Drosophila melanogaster: one gene and its partner. The protein of the gene in region 1 interacts with the protein of each later gene in a pairwise test. Each region holds a gene or a part of one and is shown on either strand. Other genes may lie near its edges. The genes, in order: IntS1 and IntS12.

What was found.
Region 2: the proteins of IntS1 (region 1) and IntS12 interact in a two-hybrid assay, tested with the Drosophila melanogaster proteins (one study listed by BioGRID).

What each region holds. Positions count from the first base shown.
Region 1 is NT_033778.4:24,034,768-24,049,972, forward strand, and holds IntS1 (integrator 1), read left to right. Parts: upstream 1-3,175; 5' UTR 3,176-3,294; coding exon 3,295-4,612; intron 4,613-4,673; coding exon 4,674-5,653; intron 5,654-5,707; coding exon 5,708-9,571; 3' UTR 9,572-9,691; downstream 9,692-15,205. Other genes in the region: MAN1, read left to right, coding at 1-1,883; Not11 (CCR4-NOT transcription complex subunit 11), read right to left, coding at 2,016-2,373, 2,434-2,573, 2,628-2,873; tsr (twinstar), read right to left, coding at 9,837-9,983, 10,047-10,152, 10,225-10,415, 11,899-11,901; gammaSnap1 (gamma soluble NSF attachment protein 1), read right to left, coding at 12,516-12,554, 12,738-13,092, 13,159-13,229, 13,299-13,493, 13,568-13,683, 13,872-13,939, 14,002-14,066; sei (seizure), read left to right, coding at 14,664-15,205. UniProt on the Drosophila melanogaster protein: Component of the integrator complex, a multiprotein complex that terminates RNA polymerase II (Pol II) transcription in the promoter-proximal region of genes.
Region 2 is NT_033777.3:26,861,460-26,865,059, forward strand, and holds IntS12 (integrator 12), read left to right. Parts: upstream 1-1,916; 5' UTR 1,917-2,010; coding exon 2,011-2,997; 3' UTR 2,998-3,100; downstream 3,101-3,600. Other genes in the region: Lerp (lysosomal enzyme receptor protein), read right to left, coding at 1-232, 311-474, 532-748, 1,021-1,107, 1,178-1,234; ball (ballchen), read right to left, coding at 3,210-3,600. UniProt on the Drosophila melanogaster protein: Component of the integrator complex, a multiprotein complex that terminates RNA polymerase II (Pol II) transcription in the promoter-proximal region of genes.

The DNA of each region.
Region 1 (15,205 bases):
CCAGCACTCCGGTGACGGAAACAACGCGAGCGGTCCTCATCGAGAAGTTGAGAAAGCACACGCGAGCCGACAAGCTGAAAAAGAGGAGCAACAAGTACGTGCTGTACTCCAAGGAGCAGCAAGAGTCGCCCCCATTTCCACAGTACCACCAGTACCACGCCCCACAACCGCCCCAAAACTACGCCAATGGCCTTGATAACAATAACGACCTGGACCAGACCGGAGGCTCCTCAGCTTACAATCGCAGTCTCGATGAGAGCGACTCAAGCCCGCTTCAGTTGTCCGCCTCCAAAATGTACGCCCCACCACCGGTTGTGGCTTCCAATTACGATGGAGACTGCTCGCCGCACAGCTTGGGGTTAAATGGCAAATACCTGCAGCCATGCTCCATGCCGTACGCCATAGACACGTCGAATAACTATGGCAAACCGAGCGGAAAAGCTAAGTTATCTGACGGAGGCGTGGTAAATAGACTGCTCAGCTTTCGGGATACCACGATCCAGCGGAAGTTCAACTATCCCACTGGCCAGGCGTCGAGAATCCCGCTCAGGAAAGAAAGGCTAACTCGGTTCGCTTTGTCGGACCTTAAATCCTTCATCAGGAATCCCGACATCAGGCCCTATGTAATACCACGAGTGCTAATTTCGCTGTTCTTAATATTTTTGACAATAATCACTGTCCTCTATGTGGGCAAGAGGTTCGAGCAGAGCCCCATCGATAAGGCCGCACTGAAGTATACATTATGTAACCCCAACGATATGCAAATGATCAGCGAAAAGGTGAATTGCATCGAAAAAGATTCGCTAAGGGGTGCGCTGGACATGAGCGAGGAACTCTTTAGGCATCTGAACGAGCGAGCCAGGCTCCATCACTGCAAAGACGCCAATTTGTCGCCCGCTTTGGAAATAGGAGAGTTTGTGCGGGAAATGGTCAGCAACCCAAAGACTCACAGGGGAAATCTGCACAGCAACTTGATGGCTGCCAAATATTTGATTACCGAGAATCCGCAGTGGAGCATCCAAGTGGTGGATTCAACGAAGCACCTTGGACAGACCTCGCACTTCGAGCTTTCTGAACCCAATCTGCCGCTCAAGTGCATTGTGTTGAAGAAAGTTACCAGGTTTTTCACCGTTATCGGTGCACTTCTCTTAATAGTCGCTGGATTTCTCATCGTGTACGTCGCGGTAGTAATATACCGAGTTAAGCAGAAGGAAGCCCTGTTGGCGGTCGATCAGTTCCAAAAGGACATAATAAACGAGCTAATTTACTTGAGCTCCCAGTCCGAGAGTCCCGAGGTAGTTATTAACCAGCTGCAGGAGAAGTTTCTGCCGGCCAAGAAGCGCTCAAAGCTCTTGTCTTCTTGGAACAAGGCCCTCAAGCAGCTGGAGAAAAACGATAGCCGTGTGCTGTTCGGAATGGTGAATCGTGACGGGAAGGCAATGCGCACAATTGCGTGGAACAGGAACGTTGACAAAAAGGATGTGGGGCTTGTTAAGAAGTGGCAGAGTCCCGCCTTCGATAACTCGAACAAGATTGCCAACCCGCCGACTCCCTGCCTGAAGATTAGGCACATGTTCGACTCCTCAGAGGTGGATCAGGCCAATCTGAAGCAGTCCATCGTGGAGTCGATCATCGAGAAGGTCGGCACGCGCTGCAAGATCTGCGATGTCCAGCTGGACGTGCAGTCCTGCTGCGTGTACATCCGCTGCGCCAGCGAGGAGGACGCCGGCACGATTCACAAAGAGATCAACGGCTGGTGGTTCGACAAGCGCCTGATTTCGATTAAATTCTTAAGACTGGAACGCTACCTGAGCCGTTTCCCCAAGCCCTCGGCCGAGCCACTTTACTTTCACACCAACGAGGCAGCCAACACTCACTCATAAAACACACAACTCTACATTAGATACTTAAGTTATTAAATGCGAATTTGTTTTACATGTACAGCTGGAGTTGTCGTATTTAATCGATTTATTATGAACTAGACTTTAAAACTTAAAATCTGCTAAACACTACCACTACTTAGCTAGGGAGTTGGACGACAGAGCGCTTTCCCCAGTTTCCAAGTGTTTGATAAGCCGGTACAGGGTAGCAGCCTCCTTGATTTTGCTGAAACCCACGCAGAAGGCTTCGATTTCAATGAATAGTTCCTGGAAAATAACAATAGAATAGTCACTAAGCACAGTCGAGGAAATGGTAGTAGCGCATACCCTAACGTTCACAATCTTGTTCCTAATCAAGGACTGCAGAAATACGCAAACGAGTCGCACCAGGCGAGACTGCATGTACTTGTCCTTGACTGTTTCGCAAGTCGAGATGCAATTGCTGATGTATAGGTGAATAAACTCAGTGGGCAAAGGTCCGGAGGTGGTTAGTCTGGAATGAGAGCTCGAGCATGTTAAAGAAGCCTTCAATACTCGATGTTTGGATTCCTACCGGTTGACCACCTCCATGGAGTGAAGTGTTATGTCCATGTTGACCAACACGTTGAAGTATTCAGTTATGTCGGAGGTCGTCATCAGTCTTAGCAAGATCTCAATGGAGATGAGAGGATTGCTTTCCACGAGCAGAGGTAGCTGAGATGGAAGCAATGGATAAGACATATATCTAGCAATGTTTTCGGTTCTTACCTTGTCCGGGGTCAGTCCATATTGGCGCGCAATGTCCGTGTTCTGCTTCAGCAGGTCGTCGAAGAGGATGTGCTGGTTCTGGAGGCTGAGTGGCTGGAGAAAAGCCTGCTCGATGAGGTGCTTTATGTTGGGGGTAATGTAGTTGGACTTGTCGTAGATGATCTCCACCTTGTCGCTGTTCGACTGGTTTATCCAGAGCAGCTCGTCCTCGAAGTCCATTAGGGGCGGGGCGATGGACAGAAACATGCTGGTGCGCTGATTTTAATTTACAATTATTATTATTTTCCTTGCAATTTTGTAAACAATTTTAGTGTGACCGCGTTGAGGGGTTCTTAAGAACAATCTGCACATGAGAGTGGGCCATCTGAAAAATGATGTATGCAAATGTGCGCCTAAGGGTGTTAGGTTACACACTTGTCAAAAAATAAAAATTAAAATATGAAAACAGTTCAATATTTATATTAAAGCCTGTTTCAAAGCTTCCATCGTTCCGAATCAGAGCAGTTGCACAGACTTCTGCATGCGTTAGCCATTGAGCCCTAGCGCCTGCACTCTGGTCACACTGCAACTGTTGCACGGCTGCAAATCGCAAAGCAAAATAAAATGCACCGCGCTTGAATTATCCATTTTATGGACAGAAAAAACCTTCACACACGAACAGAGAAAAATGGATCGCGGGAAAGGAAGCGGCTCCAACCGATCGCAGAAGAAGGTTCCGCTGGGCGGAGAACTCTTTGCGCTCGGCAAGAGCGTACGCGATGACTCCAAGTCGAAGATCCTGCCCATTAAGGGCATGTCGTCGTCGGACCGCAAGCGTGAAGCCTCCACCGCACTGGCCAGCTCGAGCAAGCGGTTCCGCGGCAACCTGAAGGACGCGGGCGCCCCGGACATGTCCTCCGGTAGTAGTCAGTGCGAGACGTGGGAGCAATTCGCCGTTGACTGCGATCTGGATACCGTGGTCGAGACCATATACGCGGCTTTGGAGCAGAACGACAGCGAAACTGTGGGCCGGCTTGTATGCGGCGTTATAAAGCAGACAACGACGAGCTCCTCGCGCTCCAAGGTGGACAACATTGCCCTTCTGGCCCTGATCTACGTGGCCAAGGTACAGCCGAGTATATTCTGCACAGACATAGTGGCCTGCGCGCTGCTTTCCTTCCTGCGGCGGGAGGCCAACGTGAAAATGAGGTACAACACCAACCTGCACATTCTGTTCGCCAATCTGCTGACCCGGGGCTTCATGGAGATTTCCCAGTGGCCGGAGGTGCTGCTCCGCATTTACATAGACGATGCGGTTAACGAGCGCTACTGGGCGGACAATGAACTGTGTGCCCCGCTCGTGAAGAACATATGCGCAGCCTTTAAAACCCGCACGCCCCACATCAGTCTCCTCCGCTGGGATGTGAGCTCGTCCCTGCCTTCTGGTCAAGCACACAGAGACAGCATGACTGTGGACGACGATTCCGGGGACAATTCCACACAGAGCTTGGATGCAAGTCCCTTAAATACCGAATCGGAACCAATTCCCGACGCTATGTGCACCACTAAATCAAGATTCAGCGATGCTGTGGTGCAGAAGCATGTCAGCGATGCCATTCGCGATCAGCTCAACAAGCGACAGCAGCAGGATAACTACACCAGAAACTTCCTAAAGTTCCTGTGCACCACTTCTGGCATTGCAGAGGTACGATGTCTGAGCATTTCCCGCCTGGAGCTGTGGATCCACAACGGAAAACTGGTCAAGTTCGCCCAGCAATTGCTCTCGTACATCTGCTTCAACATCAAGGGACGCAACACACAGGACAACGAAGTGCTCTTGGTGCTGGTGAAGATGCGGCTCAAGACGAAGCCCCTAATAAACCACTACATGTCCTGCTTGAAGGAGATGATTTTTCTGCAGCCGGAAATCTTGAGTACCGTAATGAAACTGGTCGTGCAAAATGAGCTATCCAACACCAGGAATCCAAACAATATGGGGATGCTGGGTAAGAGAAACAAATTTTTTCTTAAATTAAAATCATAATTCTTAATTTGAAACTTTTCCAGCCACAATGTTTCAAACATCTGCTGATCAATCAGCTGCCACTCTGGCTGAGATTTACCAGGAATTCTTGCTTCAGCGGGACGATTGCCTGCGCACCCTGCGCGTTTTCTTACGGGAGCTTGTGCGGATGCTGCGCTTCGATGTGAACCTGGTCAAGTTTTGCAAGACGTTTCTCAGTGAGCGGGAGGATCTGACTCCTCAAATCGAAATGTTCGAGTTTAAGGAGCGAATTTTCAACTCCATGGTGGACATTGTGTGTCTCTGCATGTTTCTGTCGGCCACGCCACAAGCTAGGGAAGCCAGTTTGTCCCTGAAAACCAATCGGGACACCAAAAACAACCATGCTCTGCTCAAGCTGTACAATCAGATGTCACAGATTCAGTTGGACACAGTGTCCTGGATGTACGAAACAGTACCCACGCTCTTCAAGATTCCGGCTGCGGAGTACCACCAGGCGCTGCACAAGCTGCTACTGCTGGACAGTCCGGAGCAGTATTCGCGCTGCGATCAGTGGCCGTCAGAGCCGGAGCGAGGAGCAATCCTGCGGATTATCTCTGAGACGCCGATTCACGAGGAGACCCTGCTGCGAATTATATTGATTGGCATCACCAAGGATATTCCTTTCTCTATCGCAAACACCTTTGATGTCCTGCTGCTGGTCATAAAGCGAGTTTCCGGGATGAAGGCTACCAATATTCCGGCGGTGCAGGCCAACAAATTCGACATCATCGACTTCCTGTTCAGCATGTCAGAGTACCATCATCCGGAGAACATTCGCTTGCCTGCGGAGTACGAGCCACCAAAGCTGGCCATCATCGCCTTCTACTGGAAGGCGTGGCTCATATTGCTTATGATATCCGCACACAACCCCTCCTCGTTTGGAGCCTTCTGCTGGGACCACTATCCCACAATGAAGATGATGATGGAGATTTGTATAACGAATCAATTCAACAATTCATCAGCCACCAAGGATGAGTTGCAGGTGCGTGCTTAATTATATAAACAAACTGGCGGTGCTACAATAAAGATTTTTCAGATAATAACCATGGAACGGGATCACATTCTGCAGTTCGAGACGTACTTGGCTGCCCAAACATCGCCGCATGCTGTTATCACTGAGGAAACTGCGATTCTAATCACTCAGCTCATGCTGATGGACCCGATGGGCACTCCGCGCAAAGTGCCCTCCATGGTCCTAGATCAGCTAAAGTTCCTTAATCAGACCTACAAGCTTGGCCACTTATTCTGCCGCTGCCGCAAGCCGGACTTGCTGCTGGACATAATTCAAAGGCAGGGCACCACGCAATCCATGCCCTGGCTTTCCGACTTGGTTCAGAACAGCGAGGGCGATTTCAGCCATCTCCCAGTGCAATGCCTGTGCGAGTTTCTGCTGTTCAACGCGCACATCATCAACGAGGAGAATAGCCGCGATGCCGAGTTAGTCAATTTCCTGAGAAACCTGATATTTGACGGCAATCTTAGCCACCAAATCGTTTGCGAGCTTTTGGACTACATATTTAGACGCTTGTCGTCCACGGTGAAGCAATCGCGAGTCGCCGCTCTTTCGGGTCTGAAGATAATCTTCAGGCACTCTGGCGACTTTGAAAACGAATGGCTCCTGAAGTCGCTCCAGCAAATTCCGCACTTCTACGAGGTGAAACCCTTCATAATTCCCCAGCTGCGAGCTGCCTGCCAGGTGGAGAATTGCCCGGAACTGATTATGGCGTACATTCAGTTCATCACTGCGCACACGCTCAACGATCCGGTCAACGAAATGCTGGATCATGTCATCGATATGGCGCAGCTGATTGTAGAGCGCAGCACAATGTTTCAGCACATTATCATTTCGCAGGAGGACTACGACTATGTGCCCGACGAGAACCGCATTCAGACTCTGAAGTGTCTTTTCGTCATGTTCAACAACTATATAATTAAGCTAAGGGAATACCACGAACCGTACGAGTGGACCGAGTATCCGGACCTGCTGATGGTTCAGTTTGACGATGGAGTACAGCTACCGCTCCACATAAACATCATTCACGCCTTCATTATCCTGCTCACCTATTCCAACAGCAACATGCCCGAATCGATACCCATTTTGGACTATTGGTTTCCGCCCGGACGACCAGCGCCCGTCGCCTTTCTGCCCAGCATGCCGCAGGAGCAGGTGCAACTGCTGCCCGACTGGCTGAAGCTGAAGATGATCCGCTCATCGGTGGACAGACTAATTGAGGCAGCTCTCAACGATCTAACGCCGGATCAGATCGTGCTCTTTGTGCAAAACTTTGGCACGCCGGTCAACTCGATGTCCAAGCTGCTGGCAATGCTGGACACCGCTGTACTGGAGCAGTTTGATCTGGTGAAGAATGCCATTCTGAACAAGGCCTATCTGGCCCAGCTAATCGAGATTCAGCAGGCGCGGGGTGCTAAGAATGGGCACTACACCGTACAGGCCTTGGATCTGCATTCCCACTCGCAGACTGTGCCAGATCTGCCCAAGATCAGTGTGGTTATTCAGGAGGCCGTTGAAATTGATGATTACGATTCTTCAGACTCGGATGATAGACCCACTAACTTCCTGGCCACCAAGGAGGTAGCCCAAACCATTCTCACGCAGCCCGACCAGTTGACTGAGTCGCGAAGTGACTGCCGATCCTTGATTCAAAAACTGTTGGACATGCTAGCAAGCCCGAACAGCAATAGAGCGGATGTGGTTAACGCCATAACAGAGGTGCTAGCCGTGGGTTGCAGTGTCACGATGAGCCGTCACGCCTGCACATTTTTAAGGACTTTCTTCAGCTGCATGCTGCACAGCGACAAGTATCACATACTGGAGAACGCTCTCCAAAAGAACTTAAGTATGTTTAAGCACACATTCGCCGACTCCAGTCTGCTGCAGAAATCCGAACTCTATCATGAGAGCTTGGTGTTCATGCTGAGAAACTCTCGCGAGATTTATGCGCAGCAGTTTAAGGCGAATACCGCCTTGGTGGCACGAAAACGGATCGTCCGGGCGATCGTCCAAAGCTTCGATCAGACCAAGGACAGCAAGACCGTCGCCAAGTCCAAGAGCGACCAGCTCTTCCACAACGGGCTCTTCATCGACTGGCTGTCCGAAATGGATCCCGAGATAGTTTCCACTCAGCTAATGAAGGAGCGCTTTCTGTTCTCAAAGTCCTGCAGCGAGTTTAGGTTCTATCTGTTGTCCCTGATCAACCACCAAACCAACTGGGACACGATCGAAAGGATTGCCGAGTACCTGTTCAAGAATTTCCATGAAGACTACGACTACGCCACCGTCCTCAACTACTTCGAGGCACTGACCACCAATCCGAAGCTGTGGAAGGGACGCGACAAGTACATGTCGAAGAACGTACGGCCGGATGCCTTCTTCATGCTGAGGACTTCTGAACTGGAGCCGTTCTCCCACTTCATCCTTCACGAAGGGCTTTCCGAGGTCAAGCTGGACAGCAAAAACTATGATTTCAAGCTCTGCTCGCGAATGAACCTACTGTTTAAGCTCACAGAGAAGCGACGAGACCTCATGGTCAAGGTAATGGAGCACGTGGAGAAAAGTTCGGTGTCCGACTACTTGAAACTGCAGGTCCTCCAGCAGATGTACATCATGTATCCGCGCATCAAGTTTCTGAAACCGGGCAAAACCGGCGAGCAGGCGTACAAATTGCAGAATCTGAAGGGCTGCCAGGCGGACAAGGTGTCCAACAATCTGATCACCTGCTTGGGCAGTCTGGTGGGCAAAAAGGACTTTGAAACCCTGTCCACGGACACCGAGCTGCTCCTTCGCAAGCTGGCTGCCTCCCACCCGCTTCTCTTCCTTCGCCAGCTGGGCGTGCTGTCGTCCATTATGCAAGGTCGGGCCCAGCTCAGCATGAAGGCCCTGCGCGAGGAGCACCACTTCCACCGATTTGTACAGATCCTGAGGACGCTGGAGCTGCTGCAACCAACCATCTTTGAGGAGGCGTACAAGAACGAGATCCAAAACACGCTGTCGTGCTACTTCAACTTCTTCAAGCACCACAGCAACGTAAAAGAGGCCTGCCAAATGCTGAACAAGTTTGTGCAGATGCTCCAAGCCTACATCAACTACAATCCCTCAAGTGCTCTGCTCTTCATCGAACAGTACGTGGGCATCCTGAAGGAACTTGCAGCCAAGTACACCTCACTAGGCAAACTGCAGGTTTTGGTCCAGGCCGTTGCCCTGCTGCAGCACAAGTCGCACTCGGCGACGGAATTGGACGACGAGGAAGTTAAGTACGAGTACGATCTGGATGAGCATTTCGATGTAAAGCCATCGGCCAGCAAGCCCGTGGTAACAGAGGATCCCATCGAAGTGAATCCGCAAACACCCATCGATCCAAGCAGCAGTAGGGGTCCCTTATCGGTTCTAACCTTGGGCTCGTACAGCCGGTCGAACTACACGGACATATCGCCGCACTTCCTCGATCTGGTCAAGATCATAAAGCAGTCCAACACGGAGGACGTGGTCTTGGGTCCCATGCAGGAGCTGGAGTGCCTCACTTCCAAGAGATTTGTGTTCATCAACGAGCTGTTCGAACGACTGCTCAACCTTATATTCTCGCCGAGTGCCCAGATCCGGTCCATCGCCTTCATCATACTGATCAGGCATCTGAAGCACAATCCCGGCAATTCGGACATCAACCTGTGCACCCTTAACGCCTACATTCAGTGCCTGCGGGACGAGAACTCCTCGGTGGCAGCGACGGCCATTGACAATCTGCCGGAGATGTCGGTGCTGCTGCAGGAACACGCAATCGACATCCTAACGGTGGCCTTCTCGCTGGGCTTGAAGTCGTGCCTGAACACTGGCCACCAGATTAGAAAGGTTCTCCAGACTCTAGTGATCCAGCATGGCTATTAAGCGTTCGGTCTATAAGTTAGAACCGTCATCATATGTACAATGTAATCTTTGCTCCTTATAATAAAGTGTATTCTGCGGTACGAGATTTTTACCACAGCGGAAACGCGACTTGGTCAAGTTAAATATTTCATTCTTTATTTCTACTGAAAATACAAATTATGTAGAAAATTCTCATACAAATTGGCGATCTCAACAGGATACGTGTTTCCATCGCTGTTTCATGCATGCCTTGTTTGTTAAATGCAATGCACAGTGCTCGTACAGTTTATTGGCGGTCGGTGGCCCGGAGTTTCTCCTCGACGGCTTCCCGGGAGGCTTCGGAAAGATCAGTGGCTTGTATATACTTTTGGACGCCCACGAGCGACTTCTTGAGAGCATCGAAGGAGCTGGAGTACAACATCTTCTTCTTGACCTGTGGGTGTGTGATATCGAAATGAGTTCTGCGCCATTACTTGGCAACTGGCTATTCACATACCTTGGCAGTATCGGGACACCACGACATAAGGAACAGCTTTTGCTTCTTTGAACTCTCAGAGGTGCCTTGACACTGGTGCATGTACTCGAAATCGAACAGTCCGTACCTGTGCAAGCGAATAGATGTTAAATTAGGTTAGTTTCGATGGGTCTGGGTGTCTCTAACCGGCGGAACTTACCGGCACTCTCCAGGTCCGCATTTCTGGATATCTTCTAGAAACTGGTCGTACTCGGCGTTGCGATCTGCCACAGTCTCCACATCAATCTGCTTTTCATCGCGAATGTAAAAGATGACATAGCGATGCTTTTTGTCCTTCTTTATTTCCTCGTATGTAGTCTTGCAGACATCAGACACAGTTACACCAGAAGCCTTTAGAGAGAGAGAAGGTAGAGATGCAAATCAGAGAATGTATTTTGAATGTTCAATGCGCGCCAAACTGTCAACCAAGTGTGTGTGCATGTATGTGATACAGGGTGCTCTCTTTGCGTTTCCCCAAGTATTCCCTTAAAACAAATGTTCATGAAGTACCAAGTAGTTGAATTGTAAAAAAAAATAAGTGAAGTTCAATGTTTTATGCCCACATAAGACACGAGGCACCCTGTACCTCACTGATGTACATATGTGCGTATGTAACTGACTGGCAGACATAACTGCCCACCTTCAGCTGACAGTATATCCGTCCCTTTTCGACTTTGCAATTTTATTTCTTTGATTGCCGGCAATAACAAACATAAAGGTAAATAATTTATGCTACTTTATTTGCATTGCCACCGCAGAACTTTTACCGGTTAAGGCGTGCGCACACTTGGCACGCCGATTTATCTGGGAGTGGTGGGCGTGGCACCATTTACAGTTAGATTTTCCTTTCTTTTTTTCCCGGCGCTCGGAAAGTTCAAGGGTAAGTTCACAAGTGCCGGCAAGTTTAAGGGTGAGAACAAGCCGACAAGAGGGAGAAAGAAAACTAAAAGGGAGGTGGCTGTTTCCCCACGATTTCGTTGCGCTCACAAAACGGTGGAAAATGCCCGATTTTCCATAATATTCGGAAAATGTCGAGAAAATCAAAATCGTCCCACATGCAAACAGTCGTCTGCTGCACACACACAGCTAAACATCATGTGTATGTATGTATGAACATCCGCAAGGCGGCAAGGAAACGATCACACCTTAAATATGTATGCCTGCAGATACATATATGGATATATATTGATACATATTTCTGTATGGTAATATGGACGTACATATGTACACACATTTTGCGTCTGCGAGAAAATAAGCATTAAGCATTGCCCCGCAGATACATACATACGCACATATTTATAGCCATCGAAATATAAAAAAAGCGGTATACCCACACACGCTCAAGTGTGTAAAAATATATATATGTATAGACATGAAAATCCAATGTGTGTGCATTTCTCTTTCCAACATTTCAATTTTTAATCGCTCCATTTTTCCAGCTGCCACTTTGGAGCATTCTTTCGCGATTGCCTTTCGCGAATTTGCCAGTTATGAGTGTGAGTGGCGGCTGAGAAGTATGAAACACTCCAATAAATGAGTAATATCCGCTGCTACCAATGACTAATTTGGTATATATGTATACGCACACATTCATGACCATGTATATGCCCGAATATGGCCAACGAACATATAGGCAAAAAAAAGTGGAAATATATGTATGATTGATATATACACACTTATCTAAATATGTATGTATATACAGATTTCAAAGGAGAGATGCTTATATGATTCATCGAATCGAAGACATTATTTGCACTCCACCTCGCTTCCAAAAGTGCACAATGACCGGCCGCTTTTACCACCGAGTCTGAATGCGAGTCCCAAGTGTACGTACCATTTTTCCTGTAGTTTTTCGCTTTCACAATTCTCAAATTGCTGCTTCGCCGAGTATATATTTTACAAATACTGTTTAACCTTCCGCCTTCTTTCACGAACAACCGGACGAATCAATTTGGTCGGTTATTTCGCACAGGTTAGGGTTGCCAGGCGCCGGCAAAGTATCAACATGCGTCGTGACGCGTCGCGACGTTTGTGAAGCGTTTGGAACGGTGAAATGGCACACTTTCGATCTTTCAAAATGTCAAATATTTTAGGGTGCTTTAAAATACATAGTATAGTTTGAGTTAATTTATTTATTTATATTAACAAATTGCACTATACTTTCGTGTAATAAAGCTGAAGATTTACAGATTTGAATCTTAACACATTCGCTGTTTTGGAACATAGAATATATATACATAGTTTACACTTATAGCTACAATTTATTACTTCAATATCAATTCATCCCAAAGCTAATGATATTCTTTGTTGTATAGTATTGATCTTAGTATTTATTAATTAGTACAACGATTGCGATGAAATTTGTATTTAACAGTTAATATAATATGTTAAAAGCGATATTATTAACGATAAATATATTTTGACTAACAAGCAGACCGAACATTAAGAAATTTAGCACAAGCCACCTTCGTCCTCGGCGTCGTTGGTTTCCTGCGAGAGAGAAAGAGAGAAAATACGAAATTCTTGTTAGCTATTTAGTTTACTGCTTCGCACTGTCCCAAGTCTTCTATCGACAACAAAGGCAGATTCAATCGCCTATCGATAACATCATAATAAGAGCCAAATTTACAAAACAAAAATTGCAAATTCCATTTTTAGAATAAAAATACTCACAGCAGCAGTGTCGCCAGCCTTCTTCTCCATCTGTATACCCTGAGGTAGTGGAATGTTTTTAGATAGAATAGCGTACTCAACATCCATATGTCGTATGAATGGGGATGCCAGCATCCTAGCAGCTAACTCGGGATCCTCGTCATCGAAGGCTTGCAGAAGGGTCTGCAGTGTGGACACTTCCTCTGGCTCGCAGCAGTTTCCCCACTCCCTGAAGGTCTTTTCGGCTTCCACGGAATCCCCGCGAGCCAGTTGGACCATCACCAAGGCCACAACTAGGCGTCCAATTTGTCCGTAAGATTCCGTTTGCTGATTCAAGCTGATCTCCTTTTTGAGCGCATTCGTGGCTTCGTCGTACCTGGAGTGATTGGATGATATAAGCTAAGGATACCCAAAGTGATTCGTTGCAATCATAGGTACATACCTCCTTAGTTTGACCAGTATCCTGGAAACTTTTGATGCATACTCGGCTGCTTGACGGACGGAATCCTCGATCTGTCGGGTAAGTATAAAATTAATAGTTTAAGAATGGAATTGACTAGAGCAGTGTCAAATAGGACGAACCATTATGACTTCTAGAGCATGCTGATAGAAGCGCAAAGCCATGTCAGGATGCTTGGATTCAGTTAACTTGGCGGCTTTATCCAAGGCGGATGCGGCTGCCTCTGGGGAACCGTGCTGTTGATACAAACTCGCCGATTTGTTGGCGTATTCCTCAACTTCGTGTAGCTTATCGGCATCCTTTGACAGCAAAATGATCTAGAAGATGTGCACATTTAGAGGGTTTAAATTTCCTATTAACTTCACTTATATTAACTTCAATTTAAGCTCACCTGTTCGTATGCCTTTGCAGCATGGAACCAAGACTTGTTGTTTTTATAGGCGTCGATTGCCTTCAGAAAACACTCCTTGCTCTTATCATAACTTTTAGCTATTCGATATGCAGTGGCTGCAATTAAAAATGTAAAAGAAAGATACATAATTGTACACCAATATGTGTGTATCTTGCAAGTTATGGATACTTTGGGATAATCGTTAGCTGTAATTCATAGTATTTACATATCTCATTGATGTCACAATGTTTTTATAGATAGATACTCTGGGTGATATTAGTCACTCCTACTTTGTGAAACTCACCAGCTTTGGAATACTCATCCGCAGCACTATCGTAATCAGGAACCCATTTCAGCATGGACAACTTCAAGCTGCAAATAAAGATGGGTGTTATTTGGAAACCCCTTTATAAGGATATTTTTGTTGGGGATACCTCTTCTCGGCCTGCTTCACCAGGTCCTCCGCTTCGGCAATCTTTTTGGCAGCGATTCCCGACATTTTCAACCACTTTTGTTTAGCAGGAAAAATCAATTGTTTACGTTTGAAAATAGTGTGACCGAATGCGAGAAGGAAAATAACAATGGTTCGAAAATCACGGTGGTTTCGAATCTTTGAAAACCGAAAGCAGTACGCATGTCTGAAAATTTCAGAAAAGCAAAGCCTGATTACACCGGGAAAAAAAAGTTGGTCTTATAAAGCAGTTGACTTCGAAATGAAAATGCCATGTATTTACATACATCTATTCATTTTTTTATTTTATCTATGATATTTAAAAAGTAGAGTATGTGTAACGAACAAGATCGAATTGAAGTGTTTTTAATTGATTGAAAATGATTTTCCACTCCTGATTTCTCCGCGTGCATGTCATACCTGTTCTGTTTTGATTTGCAAGTAAATAAGAAAGTGCATTAGGTAAGAAATCGCAGTTTTCGCCAATTTCAATCTGGAGTAAGTGGAAATTTTGGATTTATTATTAAGTTGTTTTTAAGCGAAGATTTATTTGAATTTGCTTACGAATCCGGATATTCTGAGCTTTGCGAATGTTTGATTATAATTTGCAACACTTTTTCGTTTCTATACTTTGCAGACTTAAAAATGTCCCACAAATCTTGCGTGGAACTGAGCGAAATTCGAAAATTGGATAAAATAGTGCAGCAATGCGAGCTGTACATGTCCAACAACAATATTAACGATAATGCGGCCAAGAAACCGCCTGTGAAGGAATTCAAGCGCAATTGCCCTGCAAAATCGAACAAATTTGTGGAGAGGGAACTCTTCTCGCTCATGTGCAACCTGAACAAGATTGAAAAGAAGCAGGTTTTCGTTTCAGATATCCTGATTAACGCCAGCATGTTCGACGACAAGAAGGAGAGTTTGGCGCGGTTTCCGAAAAACGTGTCCGACCACAACACTCTGGTGTACCACAAATTCCTGAGGACTCGACCCACTAACGATGATGAAGCCCTAAAGCTGAAGGCTGGTGGAAAATCGAAGGAGAGGCCAGGCACGAAAATCACGGCAGATTGCTTCTTTTCGCCTCTTCTATTCAAAATCAACAACAAAAGGGAGTGCCTGAAAAAAGTGAAGCCCATGAAGGGGGAAAATGCTGTCGAAACCAATGGTATCCCACTCGAATC
Region 2 (3,600 bases), on another chromosome or scaffold:
CCGGACACATGCTGTTCTCTCCATAAAGCACCGGCTTACAGACATTGATCACAAAGAAGGCGCCTTGACGATTGCTCGTATGATAGTTACTATCACTCAGCGGCATCAGATCGAAGGTTCCATTTGACTTTGTGTCGCCCACTCTGCAACTATTGGATTGTAGACCCTCGGGAATGGATAGGCATGCCAAAGGCGTCCTATATGAGATGTAAAAAGAACACACTTCGTTGGCCTAGATGAAGTACAATAGTATGTTATTCAGAATGATAGAATCTTCGAAATATTTAAGGAATACAATTCAAATACTTACGTAAGGCGTTACGTGCATAGGCTGGGCATCCAAAGTATAGTCGCAGGAGAACATTACATGCAGCTGGTAGTTGGGCTTGTCGGCAGTGCCATTGTCGCATTTTGCGCCGCTTTTGTACTTCAGAAACATATTTCCATTGTTGTAGAACAACTCGTGCTGACGACCTGAACAGTAAAGGTATCTTAGCGTGTGAGATACAGATAATGTGATCGTTAACTTACCCAAAATATACTCCTTTCCCTGTCTTTTGAGACAAGCTGCCACATTACTTTCCCCATTGCAGGTTCTTGAAAGATTTCCGCATATATTGAACTCGAATTGGTCGCCTCCAATGTTCATGCTCTTCACCACATGGGCCAAATCCGAGTGGAGACCACTGAAGTCGAAGGTGCTGCCGTAAATGGGCTCCTTGAGTTTACATTCCGTGGTGGAAAATTTCTAAAGAAAAAGTAAACATATTACAGTTACATATTTTCCTATTTCAAAGAAAACAAGACATTTTTTATGACTATTATCGCTTCATTATTCAGCCTATTGATTTCTTAGCCATTCGAAATGTCGGCCAACAAAGACTGGAAGTGATAAGCGAGCGAAAAACATGCAATTGGGGGGCCTTAAACGGGGTCTCGACCAAAAGGCAACAAGTGCGCAGTGAAAACAAACAAACACCCCCAAAATAAACGACCCACGCCCACTAACCGCCCACTTACCAGCTGATTGGCTGCGTCAGCGGCGACACTCTCACCGCTGCAGAAAAGCAGCAAAAGCAGGGAAATCACAATTGGGAAACGCATCTGCTGGAATGTCAGTAAATGCAATGAATAGTTTTTAGTTCAGTTTAAATGTATTCAGCATGTATCATCTTACCTGACGAAAATTTTCCTGCGTGGGAGCTGCGCAGTCCTTTTGCAAACTGCAACGCATTTTGTCACCTGCAGGCTCTGAAATATTGGCACTAAATGAGTCAAAGCGCTGGAAAGCGTTTGCAGTTTGTTTCTTTTACTGTTTTATTGGTAATTCCACCTAAGATTAGCGCTCTTTTTTCGCACACAAAGTAATTTAATTTCCCTTATCACAAGCTAACTGTTTGTTTTGCGAGAGAGCCAAGTTGTTATTGCTTTTCCAATTGGCTCTCTGCTTCGATTTTTCAACGGCCGTTCGCAGCAATTCTTCTTCTTTGCGCAGCAGAACAAATAAGGAAATGCCGGCGACGCAGTTGCACGATAGGCATAACAACGAACACAAATAGTGGCGAAATAACTATTTTTAGCTTGAATATACCTTTTTCGGATGCGGCTAAATTACCTGGCCAAAAAACAACACCCGCTCTTACCAATGTTACTTTACGTTTACAAGCGAGTGGCAGCGCTCAGAAGAAGTCGAGCTGCGTAGCAGTGTGGTAGCACTGGTCAAACAGCTGTTGGGCTTTTGAATATACATTATGTTTGAGAATCCAATACAACCAACGTGTGTAGTGTTACTTACATACTAACATTGTTGTTAACAAGGCTATATTCAGATTACATGAAATGATCCATAACTTTATTTTCATCGTATTATGGCTAATAACTTAAAATTTAATTTTCCCGCCTAAAACCTATGCACGTTGCCAAGTGAATGGCTGAAACCAAACAAACAGCTGTTGCGCGGGCATAAACTTGCATTTATATTGTTATTTACTATATCTACCCGGTATTAAGATGGCCGCAAATATAGCCGCCGCTGCTGCAGCTGCCCAAGAAGTGGATCCCGTGCTGAAGAAGGCCATCAAGTTGCTGCACTCGAGTAATCCCACCTCGGCGGCCGAACTGCGTCTGCTTTTGGACGAGGCTTTGAAGGCGCGTTTTGGTCCGGAGAAAAGTTTGACCAACAACATGACGCCACGGATGCTGGAGGATGAAGCGAACTTTTCCGGACGTGCTGCCACGCCCCCGCAGCAGCCCATCAATGCGGACGAGATCATCAATTTGACCAACTCACCGGACAAGGAGCCCTCCGATTCGGTGGACACGATTGCGGATTCGGATGACGGTCTAAGCGCCGTGGGAATAGTTAACACCGGTGACACCGGCGACTTTGGCGACCTCAATTGCTGCGTGTGCGGCGAGATGGTTTTCACGGCCACCAATCGGCTGATTGAGTGCTCCAAGTGCGGTGCCATGTACCATCAGGAGTGCCACAAGCCGCCCATAACCAAGGAGGAGGCGGCCGATGACCAGGAGCAGAACTGGCAGTGCGACACGTGCTGCAACAAGCCAACGAGCAGCGGGAGGACAACATCCTCTGCAGCGGCCGTAACGCCAACTGTCTTCATAGCCGACGAACCCATGCCGTTGACCAGCAAAGCCAAATCGTCGGTCGCGTCGTCGCGCTCATCGAACTCTTCCAACTCCTCGTCACCCTTCTACCGGCCCGAGCCCAGCAGTTCCACGAATGCCAGCAGCAGTAGCAGCAGCAAGCATGGCCACAAGTCCTCCTCTTCGTCGTCGTCCAAATCGCACAAGGAAGAACGATCCTCTAAGTCCACGGCGGCGTCTTCTCTTAGCGCCATCGGCGGAATGGAGAAGCACAACAGCAGTGGCACCTCATCGCGACGCAGCGGCTCCAGCACCAAATCCAGCTCCAAGAGCAGTTCCTCCAAGCATCACGAAAGCGGCAGCAGCAGCAAGCGCAGATCCAAGCAGTAATTTAGCATCTCTAATAATTAAGTATAAAGTTACAATCCGCATAAAATTCTGAACGTTCATTCATAATAATAATTCAATAATTCATTTTCAATAAATGATTTTTAAAGATATGTACGTGCTATCGAATTCAGTAAATGTAGGTAAAAGTAAGAAAATATTTCAAGTTTTTATTAATGAGGTTACAAATGTAAAAATACAGAAAACAAAGGCTCCTATCCCTGGTATTTCCGCACAGTGACGGCTGGTGTCCGCGGACTACGGCCGGGCGTGGAGGAGTCGCCATGGCCGTTTACCTTGCGCAGGTTAACTCGGGTCACAGGTGAGGCCTCCTCCTTCGAACTGGACGCCAACGCGCTGCGGGATGAGGGTGTACGTGAATCAACCGCCGTCGCCTTATCCTGGTCCGCTTTCTTTTTGCGTTTGACATTCACAATTACGTTGGCATCCATGCTAACGTCGAGCTCGAAGTTAAACTCATAGGTCTTCTTGGAACGCGGCTGTGGAGTGAGGTCATCGTTGATCACGGTTTTGCCACCGGGACGTCCACGCAGCGAAATAGACGGGCTGAAATTGATCTTGGCATTGGGAGTACGGAGCCGCGCT